2 linked regions of the Struthio camelus genome follow. The protein of the gene in region 1 purifies or fractionates together with the protein of each later gene. This does not show direct contact. Links are inferred from orthologs where the notes say so. Each region holds a gene or a part of one and is shown in the gene's direction. Other genes may lie near its edges.

Evidence for each region. The genes of interacting proteins can lie anywhere in the genome.
Region 2: the proteins of CUL4B (region 1) and DET1 purify together in Homo sapiens (affinity purification with mass spectrometry; 3 studies listed by BioGRID and IntAct, counting the BioPlex papers as one, with this or other methods). This does not show direct contact. The link is inferred for Struthio camelus from reciprocal best matches to the Homo sapiens genes CUL4B and DET1.

The regions. Positions count from the first base shown.
Region 1 is NC_090952.1:11,849,130-11,856,796, forward strand, and holds the start of CUL4B (cullin-4B), read left to right. Parts: upstream 1-4,666; 5' UTR 4,667-4,814; coding exon 4,815-5,346; intron 5,347-7,667.
Region 2 is NC_090953.1:9,549,394-9,557,156, reverse strand, and holds the start of DET1 (DET1 homolog), read left to right. Parts: upstream 1-4,754; 5' UTR 4,755-5,007; intron 5,008-5,308; exon of another isoform or gene 5,309-5,311; 5' UTR 5,312-5,337; coding exon 5,338-6,420; intron 6,421-7,763. UniProt on the Homo sapiens protein: Component of the E3 ubiquitin ligase DCX DET1-COP1 complex, which is required for ubiquitination and subsequent degradation of target proteins. The complex is involved in JUN ubiquitination and degradation.

The DNA.
Region 1 (7,667 bases):
GCACATCAGTTCAGCCCACAGCGTGGCTGCAGCTCCGCGAGAAACAAACCCAGACACTCTCCCCATAGCGCCGCTGCTGTGGGACGTTCAGGAGTTACAGCAGTAAAGCTGTTTTTATTTCTCAAGACAGCAAGATACAACCGGACTTCAAACGTGGCGTAGTCCTATTAAGAAACTATTTTTACACCATCACTTTTGGAAGTAAAATCATGTTTTTAAAAAGCATCACCTCATTTTTTGCAAAAGGGACTCTCAGCTCAAGCATGCCACTTAAATGGGCAAAACTGTTTATGCTAGACATTTTATATGCATATAAAAATAACAGTAATGCTTAGCCAAGATGGTATGAATTAAAATACATTTTCACAAAGTCACTCTCCCCCAAGGGCAAATGTATTTTCTAAAAGATTTTTTAAAATTCCCTTGCGAACACATTCTCTGACTGCAGTAGGTGCGTACCTGCCTGATCCAATATTACTGTTCTCATGCTCCTGATTCCAATAAGATTTTGTTCTAAACTACAAAACTGCTACAAAGGACAGACTTATCTTTAAAACTGAAGAAATTTCTTAAAACTGCCATACCATTTTAAAGTATTCAAATTGATCAAAGATACTTTGCTTGTAGCTTTTTAAAGCCTATGTAAAAACCTAGGTTTGTCAGAACGTGAAGAGAGATGATGGATGGAGCAAGAAATCATCTCATTTTAAGATCTTTGGCATGCCCTTTTGTCATGTTATAGCCTATTGCACAACAGTGTCTTTATTTTGCTTTCATAAGAACAACTTGTTTATTATTTGCAGACATATCACTGTTTTCTTGGGTATTATACCACTCTGAGTGAAAAAAAAAAAACAAACTTCAAAAGAGAAAGGAAGAGTTAATAAACACTAATATTATTTAAACACAAAATATGTTTAACAAAAAAAAACTGCAGCCACCTTCAAAATAGCAAAGCAGAAGCTATTCTTCTCCAGTTTGAGAACAGGAAACAAGGTCTGATCTACAGGATTGTGAAAGAGGTGTGTTTCTTGTCGAACAGTGGATACCGGAGCCAGTCAGGAAATCTGTCAGGGGATAAGGCGACGGTGACACATGCCATCCTTCGGGGTGGAGGAGGAGCAGAGCAAACCTGGCCTCCCGTGAAGATCTCAACCGCCACAGAAATGGGTTCTGGTGCAGACCACTGTGCTTTACAGTGTTTATTAGGATCAAGTTATGTTTTGCCTGCAGTAACTGTGAATAACAATGAAAACCATAGATAGGGGATTTTATCATATTGCTCTTTACCTCGAAGAGCAAACACGTATGATTTTGTTCTTTATACAGCTAACTGCAGGAGCAGGATATACACGGGCCACAATTCTATTTCCTTTGAGAGTAATGGAAACATTATCACTGACGTAAAGGGGAGGGAAGAAAGGACAAAAAAGAGCAGGTCATCATTTTGCTAACTGCTACACAAAAGGAAATCAATCAAGGACGTCAATCTTGATATTATATAATTAGTTAAAACCTAACCTCAGAACAATAGTAGCCATACAAAATAAAATCAAGCTTTTATAAATGGTATAATTTATTCAATTGTAAAATACAGAGTTACAAACACCGATTTTAAACAAACAGGAGAGGAAAGAACTGTGGCATTATATAAACACTCAAGCATTTAACTTCAAAATACTCTCTTACTTTATAGCATTACTTAAAATAGGAAGCTACAATCAAGGATCCAGTTTTAACTGAAGCACAGTAATATTGCTCATGCTCAGATGAGAAAGTGAGAGGGGAAAATTGTCACACGGACAAACTATTCCATACGTTTGTTGTGCTCCTCAGAATACCTTGTTTTAATAATACTTTGCCAAGTTAACAATCCTTGCAGGTGTGGTGACATTTTAAAAAATAGTAGTGAAAATTTCATCATACTGTCACACACAACATTAGAAACCTAAGGCAAAAACTCTTACCCTCAATAACTCCCAATAAATGGCACGTCTCATTGAAACCATGTGAACCACTGGTTTCACACAAGCATAAAACAGCAAGATCAGCTCATAATTCTCAAAAAATGGCTTTTGTCAACAGGAAGCTCTCATCTCCTTTCTTCTGGAAGCTGAATTCATCTGGCTCACTGGCTCCCTTCAGAGCAGAGCTAATCTCCAGTCTGGTCTCCGCACCTCCACCTTCTCTTCCAAGAGAAGGCTTTTTGTTGGTGCAGCTGCACAGACTTCAGGGCTAGCTAACTCTTTGCCCAACCTAAACTTGTGTGTACGAAGAATTTTTGAAGAAGATACTGAGCCCTTAAACTGAAATTTTGCACGGCTGCACAGTCACCTTTAAGTAACAGAATTTTAAAAGCACGGTAGCTGGCTAAGACCTGCAAAGCAACTGGGACATCTAGCAAATAGCTCCACAGCCCTTCCTATTCCTAGGGAGATGACTTGGCAGGATCATATTCTAAATACAAAGGATTCAGAATTTTCCCTCTCCTCCACCTGTTTCAGCAGGAAAGTGGTGAAATCCACTGCAGCTGGCTTCCCCCTCAGTCCCCAGGACCCTCCCTCCTATTCCCCTCTCTCCATGGCACCCCAGACCACGACCGGTTAGGAGCTAAGGAGTCGTGTACGATCAACGGCAGGACACAGCGCCCGAGTAGCTGACTGCTGCCTAACGGAACAACGAGGAGGAAAGGATAACCCTGCTGCTTCTCCAGCAAAGGGGATGCTTACGCACATCTCCCCTTTATACTCATTTTCAGAAGTCATGACTCTGGAGAAAGGTAAGCTATGACCGCTACACCTCTGACTTAATTTGACTTCAGTAAACATGACAGTTACTGAGAACAGAGGAAAACTTGACAGTATAACCCTTAAAGCTTTGTTTATTTACCAAATCTGTTTATTTCTATTATATATGAATTAGACTGTAACTCATTAGGGCTTTTGCAACTATATAACTTGTTCTGTATCCAGTCAGAAACAAACTCACGTATTTTTTTTTAAATCTGGAAAAAGTACTTTTCTGAACAACACTGTGATTAGGTTTCAGGCCTCAGGAGCCACCTGACAGACAGAAAATGTGCTCCAAAAAAAAACTCAGGAAAATTACATTCAAGTAAAATTAAATAAATTCATGAACCACAGTTTCTGTCAAGACAAGCCAGCGTATATTTTTCTACCAGAACCACGGCTGCCGACAGCCTTCCAGCGCGCAGCTTCGCTGTCAGAAAGGCAGGTGTGAGCTCTCAGAAGTCCTTTGAGAGTCTCCCCCGGTACAACCTCACAGCTTGTCTTGTTACTTTTTCTGCAGCTCTTTCCCAGCTCTGACTGAACCATAACAGCGTTCGTGGAGAGTTCGCATTTCTTTGGATAACGGAACAACACCAGCACGACACAAAGCCGCGGACAGCTCACAGCTGCTATTTTTGCTTCCAAGTTTTTTTGTTTTTTAAGTGCTAAGCTCCAGCCCAGCACAAACCCGTTTATGTTAAACCCGCAAGAAAAGCGGTGTGATGACACTAAATAATTATAACTTTTCTTTATACCGAATGAGCGCACAAAAAGAAAGGCCTCCATTTCCCAGACAAGCTAACAGACAAAGGCCTCAAACGCGGGAGGGGGCCCGCGGCCGACCCCCCGGGCGCCCCTCGCCCTCAGCGCTGATTAGCGGCAGCCTCGTCCCGAAGTACCTCAGCGGGAAGCCACCGCGACAAGCGCAGAAAGGACCTCGGCCTCCCGCTCTGCCGCCGGGGCCGCGGCGGGGACCGCAGGGACCGGCTCGGCGCCCGCCGCCACCGGCAGCGCCGCCTCAGGGGGCGGCGGGGGAGGCGCAGGCCGCGTCGGCGGCGCTACGGGGGCTGGCGAGGGCCAAGCCGCGCCCCCGCCCCTCCCGCTGCCGCCACGCGGAGGGCCGAGGCCACGCCCCCTTCCGCACGACGCACCCCACGCCGGCGCGCTAGGGGGTAACGAGCGCGCTCGTCACCGGCTGCCGGCAACCATGATTACTTCCGGTAGGTCAGAGGGTAGCGGAAAGGAGCGGGGGGGGGGGAGGAGGAGGCGGCCTCGCCGCGGCCGCCGGCGGCAGCAGGGCGCGCGGGGAGGGCGCGCGGGGAGGGCGGCTCGGCTCGGCGCGGGTCGGCGGGGCGGGGCGGGGCGGGGCGGGGCCTGCCGCCGCCGCTGCCGCCGCCGCGGGGTCCCCGGCCGCGCTTCCGGGCGGCCGCGCCCCAGCATGCCCGGCGACCGGATGTGCCGCCATCTTTAGGCTCCCTCTCCGCCTTGTATTGACAATAACAAGCCCGGGCCGGGCCGTCCCCGCCGGAGCGCGAGCGGCCAGAGCGGCGCGGGGCCGGCGCGGGCGGGCCCGGGGCTGGAGGCGAGGCGGGCGGCGGCAGCCGCGCTCGGCCCTGCCCGCTGCTGCTCGGCGGAGACGCGGCGGCCGGAGGCGGCGGGGAGCGGGCGGGGGAGCGGCGGCGGCGGCGGCGGGGAGACGCCGGCCCTGGAGAGAAGAGCGGCCGGGAGCTGGGCGGCGGAGAGAGGCGGGAACGGAGCCGCTCCCCGAGACAGGCGCCAGCGCTGAGACAAACCGCGAGAAGAAACACAGTAACACGGAAAAGGGGGAGAGGGGAGATAAAGCGATTCCTCCGCCGAAGAAGAGAGCAGAGGAGAGGGAGCGCGGAGAGGCTCCGCTGATAAAAGGAGGAGAGAGAAAGGAGTGGAAAGACTCCCCCGGGAGACAGCAAACAGAGACTCACTCTCTCTCCCTTCGTCACACCACCAGGATTTGATGCCCCTCAGCCTGTTCACTTCTGTGTGTTCATGTTTCCCACAGGTTTCTCTTCCCCCAACCCCCCAGCAGCAGCTCAGGAGGTCAGACCTGCCACTGATGGTAATAGCAGCAGCAGCAGCAGCTCCTCCTGCAAGAAGAGAAAGTTAAATAACAGCAGCAACAACTCTGAGAGAGAAGAATTTGATTCCATTTCCTCCTGCTCCTCTTCTCCTTCCAAAAACAACTCCTCATCTTCCTCCGTCATCACCACGTCCTCCTGCTCCTCCTCAGGGGTTGCCTCCTCCAACCATCACCTCCAGAAGAAGCTGCGCTTTGAGGACTCCTTGGATTTTATTGGACTCGATGTGAAGATGGCCGAAGAGTCATCTTCCTCCTCCTCTCCTGCTGCCTCTTCTCAACAGCAGCACCAACAACAGCTCAAAAATAAAAGCCTTTTAATTTCTTCAGTGGCTGTGGGGCATCATGCAAATGGCCTGACCAAAGCTGCCTCCTCTACTGTTTCCAGTTTTGCCAACAGTAAACCTGGTTCTGCGAAGAAACTAGTGATCAAGAACTTTAAAGGTAACAGGCCATAATTTGTCACAACCTGTGAGGAGCTGGCGCTCGACTTTGTGTTCTGTTTTCAACATTAAAAGCGGTTGGCTTTCATATAGGTCCAGGTTTTACAGGAAATGATTTTCTGTGGTAAACATTTCTGTTTGTATGTAAAGGGGGAAATGATGTGTTATGATGCATACTTGCCCAGTCCTGTGCCTGTCTTGACTACTACAATGTGTTGCTTGGAATTGTTTTTCACTATTTTCACTCTTACCTGTTGAGGAGAAGACCTTAACTTGTAAGTTAAATGAAATATTTTACTACGTAAGTGTGTAAACCACCTTTATTCGAACTTGTAGTTTGACATTGCTTTCCTATAATTCTGATTCAGGGCGCAGTGTATAGTTTAGCCCGGTTTATGGTAGGTCTTCCCAGAAGGTTGTGGGGCAGGGGTTTTTTTTGTTTGGGGGGGGGGGGGGGAACAGAGTTGTATGTCTTGCCCCGTCTGTTTTGTCTGACTATAGGTTAATCTGTCTGTGCTTAGTTTAAATATTGAAACTAAGGTGATTATGAGGCTATTATGGCGGATTTCCTTTCCACTTCTCCTGCTTGTCTTTAAAGTAGGTAGTTCAGAATTTTGCCAGGTGTTTTTGTCGCAATATCCGTGGTGCAACTTCTACTATTTAACCTTTTTATGGCTTTTTTTTGTTGTTTGTAACCCCTCTCAACAAACAGGTGTTAGATCTGCTAAAGTATCATTAATTGAGATCAACTGAAATGGAGAAATTAAACTTTTTGCTGATGTTGCTTGATGTTCTAGTAAATAAGTTACAAATAGGTGTGGACAAAGAACTTAGTTTCAGGGACCTAAAGTCCTGTGGGTTTGCCTATAAAATGGGTAAATCGGGAGCTTTCCTGGTTTCCTACCTCTTACTATCTTCCATACTGGTCCAGTAGCTTTTTTTCCTGAGTTATGTTTCTTTTCCCCGGTATGTCTGTTTTTTGTCAGGGAGTTGTTATATCTTTTAAAGATTTTAATATTACGAAGATGAAAACTAATATATAAACGTACAGTTGATACAGATGTCCTGTAAAGATATCGCTGAAAGAAGGGCTTATTTTAGCCACTGTAATGTGTTACAGCAATTCATGGTTGCTGGGTAAGCTTTAAGGTCCTCCTGACTCTCAAGAACGTGCTCCCCTCCAATTCCCATGCTCACGTGTCATCGTCACTTAATGAGACTGATTACTTTAAATGTTGCATTGATGATGCATGATAGCGAGGAATAAAGGCCACTCTGCTGCTGCTTGTACTCTTTTATTATCTTTAAGGGAAGTCAGCTCTTCATGTTTAAAATACTTGCTAAATCTCGTGAATTGCATGTTGTCATGATCATCATTGCTTATGAATTGGTATTTGAATCACTTGAAAATCTAGCAACTCTGTGTTTTATTTATTCTCAGATCCCAAGCTGAATATTTTTAATATGCCTTTATCTGTGATAGAAATAACATCCTTTACAACCTGTACAACTTCCTAAAATTCAAAATCCTACTATTTGCTGTTGAGTAGCTCACTTGCTAATTGCTAGTGAAAACAAGCAAGTTTCACTTGTGTTTAACTGTCTCTGCAGATTCTTGTGATGCAAGCGATGTGGGGGTATTGCCAGTATTGTAGAAGAATGCTTGTTTTTGGGGAAAAAGGAAACCCTACTTCGCTTCATTTGTTATTTCTGGAGAAATCATGAGGCTGTAGATTTTTGGTTTCTTAATGTTTAAATAGGTAGAAGTTGATTTTAATACAGTATGAACTCTGGGCCAATTTAACCTATTGGTGGCATGGATGTACGTGTGACTTTCCCCCTAAATTCTCTCCTCCTTCCCTCTATCAGAATAGAGCTATGTGAGCAAAATTTGAGCTATGTGAGCACAAGAGAGGGCTTAACTCTCTTAAAAACCCACTGGCTAAGCCCAAGAGAGACATCACTGAATTAGTTCAAAGTAGGAAGGTTTTCTTGGCAACCATAAAGCCAGTAATATAATTAAGCATTTCCATGTATGTTTCTTAGGGGTTTCCTTCCAAGTGTTTATACAGAGTAGAATTAATAAGCAGTAAACTTAAAATATCGTATACACAACTATGTGTTTTGGAATACTGATTATATTGATATCGCTTTCTTAATCCACCGTGTTCAGCTTTTACGTGACTTTCTCGTTCTTTCAGCTGTGCTGTCGTGATAGTGAAAAAGTGTGACGAAGATGCAGACTGCTGCAAGTCACAGTACTGTGATTTTTTTAACTCATGCCTATGGTTTGGGCTATGGGTGCTGTAAAGTGTACGTGAA
Region 2 (7,763 bases), on another chromosome or scaffold:
GAGCCCCCGTGCACGCGCCTGAGCTCAGCCGGGGCTGCCACCCCTCCGCTGCGCTGGAGCAGGGCGTGCAGTAAAGCACAGGGCTCCTCTTCTAAATGCTTTTTCCGCTGGAAACAGCTCAGTAAGAGCCCAATCCAAGCAGCCCAGTGCTCTGCACAGCTGCCAGCAGTGCAGTAAAACCCCGTATGAGCCCCCAGCAACGTCCCGCGCCAGCCCTCGGCTCTGGGCTGGGGCTGCCCATCTCCACCGCGCTGGGCAATGCCCAGCTCCCCACCGTCCCCCAGCAGATGATGGTGGTAATGGCCGCGTGTCCCCCGACCCCACCGGCACAGGATCCTGAGTGCTGTGCCGGGCTGCCCGCGTGCCGGTCCTCGGGAAAGCTGGGCAACAGCCGGCATGAAACGTGGCAGGAGGTACAAAATCGCTCCCGGTGGAACACCCCAAGAGGGGACAAGGAGGCCCCTGTGAAGGCATCAGATGTTGTCACCTGCCACAACGGCTAAACCCATCAAGAAAAGGCATCGTTATGCTTGAGCACAGGCCCTGCGCCCCTTCCACACCCCTTCTCTCTTCAATACACAGAGATATTCTTACTCGCCAGCTTACCCTTCTGGGCACTTTCCACTGAAGCCCCGAGAAGCTCACCTTAAAGCTGTCTGCTGGTGGAAGGTGGAGAAAACTTTTCCTAAAATCTGAGAAACCACCCCTGATTTCCTTGCTCGCTGAATCCCAGTCTCCCCCTGACCCCGTCTCTTGGGCGCCTCCATCCCTTGGCCTTCAGCATGCTGGTCGGAGGCATCGCGCCAGCTCCAGCCCCACCACCCGTTGCCTCCAGGCTTCCCCAGACCCGCGCGAGCAGGGACTAACTTTGCCGCCAGCTTTGGCTAGACGCCAACCGCTGCCGAAGGCGCACGCGGTTTAGACGTGACGAGACGTATCTTACACCATGATTAACGAAACCGTTGCTGCGAGGGGCTGCTCTCCCCGCTCCGCATCGCCCCAGGCTGGCCCCGGCCGCGGGAAGACTGTGGTCCTGAAGTTATTAGCTCAGGAACCGCTAATAGCTACTGTATTAAATGGGCCTTTTGTCCGTTGAGCTGTCTTTCTGTACGTGCGCGCCCGGCTGTTGTTTTGCTGCCAGCTGCTGTGTGGTTGGATGCTCTTTGGTATTTAGTTTTATCCTATTAAGGTGGATCTCAATTAATTACGCAGGAGGGAGAGAGACAAAGAGAGGCGCCGAGGCCGGTCGTCGCCGTCTTGCAGCCGCGCTTGCGGCAGCCGGGACGCGGCGAGAAGAGCGCAAACGGCGAAAGCGCCCCGGCGGCTCGGCGGGCGAAAGCGCGGCGGGAGCGGGCGCCACGCGGTCCCACTGATCCCGCCGCTCGGCTTCGGTTTGCGGGAACGGCCTCACCCGACGCCCTCCCAGCTTTTATTTTTGTTGCCGAACGCCGGCTCACCCTGGCGCCGCGCTCCTCCGTCCGCTTTCGGTGCAGGGGAAACCCAGGGCGGCTCCGCGCTCGGCCTCCCCGCTCGCCGTGCTGTCTGGGGGCCGTTGCCTGTTTACGCGGGGCTTTTCCCTTCCCGCTGGCAGCGCCGGGGCTGCCGGGGTCCCGCGCCGCCCCGCAGCTCCCCCTCGGCGCCGCGGCGGCTCCAGGAGAGGGGGTGTCCGGAGGGGACGGGAAAGGGGAGAGCTTGGCAGGAGCCTGCCAGGGAGGGAGTTTCGGGGCTCGGCGGGGATGCCGGAGGATGCTCTCACCCGTGTCGTCCCTAACTCCCACACGCCTCGTGCCACGTCTGGCCGCTGTCGCCCACCCCTCGCGCGCTGGCGGGGCGCCGGGGAGCCGGCCGGGCCGAGGAGCCCCCGAACCTCCGCGGCACGCTGCGGTAGCGGGCGGCGCTGCGGGAAGGGGTCCCTCTCCAGCGCCTCTGCTTGCTGCACCTCCCGTGCCCAGCCCGGGCAGGGATGGCCCTGCGCGCACGGCAGTAATGCCACCAGCTGGCCACCGCGGCGGCGGCCGCTCAGGGCTGCCCAGCGCCGTTCCCAGGGCTCGCGCAGAAGGAGAGGCCTTCGGAGGGTCGGGAAGGGCCCTGCGGTCTCAGCACCGCTGTGCCGGGGCGGGGGGAGCTGGAGCCGTGGCGGGGGTCCTGGCGCCCGGCGCTGCCCAGCTCCGTCCGAGGCCTGAGCCCAGCTCGTGGCACCGAGCAGGCGCCCCGCAGCCCCCCGACACATGGCGGACGCCCCAAAACGTTGGGAGCGCCGGCCGCCCCCGGGGCTGAGCCACCTCGGCGCCCGCCGGCCCCACGTCCCTTCGCTGCGCCGCGGCGGTGCCGGGAACGCGCACCGAGCCGCTCAGCCCGGGCGGAGAGGACGGGCCGGCAGGTGGCAAATGGGGCTCAAGAGCTGCCTGACATTCTCCCTTCCTTCCCCCTCGCCTGCTCCCTTTGAAAGACAAGTGCCCTCTCGGCTCGCGCTTGGCCGCCGGCCGCTAATGCAGGGGCCGGGCGGCAGGAGAGCCGCTAAAAGCCTCGGCAGGGGCGAGCGCCCGGCTGCAGCCCAAAGCCGCCGGCAGCGGAAAGCTTTCAAGCCCTTCAGAAAGGAGCCAGCCCCGGGCGCGGGAACCGCGTGGCCGCGCTGGACATCCCGGGGGTGCCGGGGAGCGGGCAGCTCCCCGCCGGCGGGTGCAAACGCTGCACCGGGGCTTCAAGGCGGCCGAGCGGCTCCCTGCTGCCAGGCCAGCGCCGTGGCCGCCGCCGGCTCTCGCCGAGGTGCAGACGGCTCTCCGGGCCCTGCCAAACCTGCAGGGACAGTTCCCCCAGCCACACTTGTCCCTCCCGCAGGAGGATGCCTTCAAGCACGGCTTGCAGGGCACGAGCCTTCGCCGGGATGGGGGACAGGGAAAACGCAGCCCACGTCTCCACACCCAGCATCGGGGGAAGCTTTTAGGGCAGGAGGTGGTGGTCTCGGGGGCGCTGGTAGAAGACGGTGTCCCCCCCCCCACCCCGGGATGTCGCTGAATGGAGGTGCCCTGGGGAAGGAGGGTGACGCACAACTGCCCGAAGCAGCTGTGAATACAAGTGTGGGGGCACGGGGGGGGGGGGCGTCTGCGTGCGGTTTGGGGCTGCATGTGGGGCAGTGGGGCCGGATCCCCCTGACGGTGCTGAAGCAGCGAGGGAGGTACCCAGGGAACAGGGCAGTGCAGGGAGGAGAGGGGTGTCCCTCAGGGGGATGGGGGGGTGCTCGGCATGCAAGGGGTGCCTGGGTGCAGGGACGGGGTGCAGGGGATGTCCAAGAGGGTTGGGGTGCCCAGGGGGTGCAGGGATAGGGGCACGGGGATGCCATGCAGGGATGCAGGGGTACAGCGGTGCAGGGATTGGGTTCAGTGATGCAAGGGCTCAGAGGCACAGGGGTGCAGCGGTGCAGGGGTTCAGGGGCACAGGACTGCAGGGATGTGGGAGGGTGCAGAGATGGGGTTCAGGAGTGCAGAGGCACAGGGGCTCAGGAATGGGGTGCAGGGCTGCAGGGGCGCAGGGCTGCAACGGTGCAGGCGTGCAGGGGTTCAGGGTGCAGGGATGGCATGCAGGGGCTCAGGGGTGTGGGAGCTCAGGGATGCAGGGACGCAGGGGCAGGGGTGCAGAGGCTCAAGGGTGCAGGGGCTCTGGTGTGCAGGGACGCAGGGGTGCAGGGGTGCCCAGGGGGTGCAGAGGCTCAGGGGTGCATGGACTCAGGCTCGGAGTGCAGGGACTCAGGGGCGCAGGGACTCGGGGGGGTGCAGAGGTGCAGGGGCTCAGGGGCGCAGGGGTGCAGGGACTCGGGGGGGTGCAGAGGTGCAGGGGCGCAGGGGTGCAGGGACTTGGGGGGTGCAGAGGTGCAGGGGTGCAGGGGCGCAGGGGTGCAGGGACTCGGGGGGTGCAGAGGCTCAGGGGCGCAGGGGTACAGGGACTCGGGGGTGCAGAGGTGCAGGGGTGCAGGGACTCGGGGGGTGCAGAGGTGCAGGGGCACAGGGGTGCAGGGACTCGGGGGGGAGCAGGGGCTCAGGGGCTCAGGGGCGCAGGGGTGCAGGGACTCGGGGGGTGCAGAGGTGCAGGGGCGCAGGGGTGCAGGGACTCGGGGGGGCGCAGGGGTGCAGGGGCGCAGGAGTGCAGGGACTCGGGGGGTGCAGGGGTGCAGGGACTCGGGGGGGCGCAGGGGTGCAGGGGCGCAGGGGCGCAGGGACTCAGGGGGGTGCAGGGGCTCAGGGGCGCAGGGGTTGCAGGGGTGCAGGGGCGCAGGGGTGCAGGGGTGCCGGGACCCGGGGGTTGCAGGGGTGCAGGGGCTCAGAGGTGCAGGGGTGCAGGGATTCGGGGGGGTGCAGAGGTGCAGGGGCTCAGGGGTGCAGGGACTCGGGGGGTGCAGAGGTGCAGGGGTGCAGGGATTCGGGGGGGTGCAGAGGTGCAGGGGCTCAGGGGTGCAGGGGTGCAGGGACTCGGGGGGTGCAGAGGTGCAGGGGCGCAGGGACTCGGGGGGGTGCAGGGGCTCAGGGGCGCAGGGGTTGCAGGGGTGCAGGGGTGCCGGGACCCGGGGGTTGCAGGGGTGCAGGGGCGCAGGGGTGCAGGGGCGCAGGGGTGCAGGGCTGCCCCGCGCGCGCCCCGCGGCGCTCCCTCCACCCGCTAGGCGGCGGCGGGGGTCGGCCCAGGGCTGCTGACACTCTGGTGCGGGCTCCGGCTCGCCTCGCTGGTATGGCGGAGCGGAAGCGGAAGGCGGCGGCGGCGGCGGCGGCGGGAGCGGGGGCGGGGGGGAGCGGTGATACGCTCTTGCCGCCGCCGTCGCGGTCCTTCGTCGCTCGGTGGCGGAAAGATGGCGGCGGCCATAGAGTGAGCGGCGGCGCCGGGACCCTGCGGCCGGGCCCGAGCGCTGAGCGCAGCCGGGGCCCCGGGGTCCTCAGCCGGGGCTGCCGCTCCCCGGCGCCCTCTCGCACCCCTCGGCGCCCGGCCGGGCCCCGGGGTCCCTGCGGGCCCCTCGGCAGGCAGGTGCGTAGGGTCCCCGCTCCCGACCGCCCCCGGTCCCCGCCTGTGCTGCCGCCCCCGGCTCCCTCCGTCGCCCCCCCGTGTCTGCCGCCAGCGGGTGCCCCGGGGCCCCCGTCTCGGCCCCCCTCGCCCCCCGGGCCCCGGCGTTCCCTGGGGGCTCCCTACCCCCCCACACCTCCACCCATTGGGTCCCTTGAGCACCCCCCTTGCTCTCCTCCAGCTGCAGCAAGCGGGTGCCTTGCTGCCCCATCTTCTCTGCTGGTCTCTGTGAGGTCCCGGGGCACGTGCGTGCTCTCTTCCCCAGCAGGGTGAAGATGAAGTAGTGCTCTGACCATGGACCATGACGCCCCCACGATCAGGCCCCGCCGCATCCAGAACCAGAACGTCATCCACCGTCTGGAGCGCCGACGGATCAGCTCGGGCAAAGCCGGCACCCACTGGCACCAAGTCCGCGTCTTCCACCAGAACGTCTTCCCCAACTTCACCGTGGTCAACGTGGAGAAGCCCCCCTGCTTCTTGCGAAAGTTCTCCCCTGATGGGCGCTACTTCATCGCCTTCTCCTCCGACCAGACCTCCCTGGAGATCTATGAATATCAGGGCTGCCAGGCAGCAGAAGACCTTCTGCAAGGCTATGAGGGAGAGATCCTGGCCAACGGCAACGACCAAAGATCTGTCAACATTCGGGGGCGGCTCTTTGAACGCTTCTTTGTCCTGCTCCATATCACCAATGTGGCCTCCAATGGCGAGCACTTGAACCGCGAGTGCAGCTTGTTCACAGACGACTGTCGGTATGTGATTGTCGGCTCTGCTGCTTACCTGCCTGAGGAGCCTCACCCTCCCTTCTTTGAGGTTTACCGCAACAGCGAGTCTGTGACCCCTAATCCCCGGTCCCCTTTGGAAGACTATTCCTTGCATATCATAGACCTCCACACAGGCAGACTCTGTGACACAAGGACATTCAAATGTGACAAAGTCATCCTGTCTCACAACCAGGGCCTGTACCTTTATAAAAACATCTTGGCCATTCTCTCTGTGCAGCAACAGACTATTCATGTCTTTCAAGTAACACCTGAGGGTACTTTCATTGATGTACGGACTATCGGCCGCTTCTGCTATGAGGATGACCTCCTGACTCTGTCTGCGGTGTATCCTGAGGTGCAGCGGGACAGTCAGACAGGGATGGCCAACCCCTACAAAGAGCCTTTCATAAACTCTTTGAAGCATAGGCTGCTGGTGTACTTGTGGAGAAGGGCAGAGCAGGATGGAAGTGCCATAGCAAAAAGAAGGTTCTTCCAGTACTTCGATCAGCTGAGGCAGCTCCGCATGTGGAAGATGCAGCTTTTGGATGAGAATCATCTATTTATCAAATATACTAGTGAAGATGTGGTTACGCTGCGGGTGACTGATCCTTCACAGGTATTGCCTGCCTCCTCAGACTGTTTCTTGAGAGCGCTTGCCCCACAGCAATAAAGTAAAATGCTGTGAGCTGCATTTCTTAGTTGAGCCTGTGAATGTTCAGGGGATAAGTTGTTTGGGACCACTGTACTTCCTTCATTCTTGTGTGAACATTTGATGTCTCTGGTATTGAGTAACTTTAGTATCTTTTTCTCTCATAATTTTATCACAAAGGAGGGAGGAAAGATCTTATGTGGTTAACAAGTCCTCTTTCTCCAGGGATCATTCCCTGTGCTCACAGATGCTTTATAACCCACTTTCCCTTCCCAAATCCCTAGTTGATTTTTTTTTTTTTTAAGCTACTATTTCATATAATACACTTATATTGTAGAGGTACTTTCTTTTCACATGTATCTTAGAGCATGTTTTTCGAATATAATAGTCTTCATTTTTCCCTGGTAGAATTGCCTTTTCTTTTCTGCCTACGTACTTAGGCTTTCAAGCTTCTGTCAGAGATAGTATTTACGATCTCTTGAAATTGGAGTAGCTGCTCTTAAATTTAGCTAATGTGCCAATTGCTTCTCTTTTCAGTTTAGTACTGAAGAAATCAAATTAGAGCAAATGTAGCTTAGTCAGTGTTGGGTCCTTCCAGATGTTTCACCATCCTGCAGGTTGATCATCTCTCTTTTCACTGTTAGAGACTTAATCAGTTTTTGATCTCTGTGAGACTGAGCAAGTTCACATTCTTTTCTTTTTTTTTCCTTTTTTATTCCTTTAATCCACTTTTATTTTGTTCAAAATATTTGGCAAGAATTTTTAATGAATCTCTAGTGCTGCTTGTTCGTCTGATTGTTCCCTAGATTTTTTTGTATACCCTCCTCTTCCTCCCCATCTTTATCAGTTCCTGCACTTAGACCCTAGAAGAAATTCTCTAGAACTAATTTCTAGTATTAGTCTAATTCTTCTGGTGGGTGACTGTGTGCTTTTTTTGTTTTAATGTTTTACATTTTTTGGAAGGGGGTAACTTCAGGAGAGGATAGATGAGGCATAATCTAACCAATTTTACCCATCGATATAAAACTAGGTGGCTATCACAAAGATGTTAGAGCTTTGTGAAAGTGTCTTGCAGTTTTCTGCTTGCAGATAGTATCCTGGTAATCTTCCTGACAAAGGCCTTAGGCCACCCCGATGTAAATGTATGTGGTAGACTTGGCTCAGCTCTCTACTGTGGTTACCAAGGCTCTTGTGCCTCCTTTGCTGCAACTGTTCTTGACTTGTTTCACCTGAAGATTACTTTAAGATGCAGATTGTGGTTTGTTTGTAGCATTCCTCAGGTGGTGTATTTTCTGCTGGAGGAAAAGCAT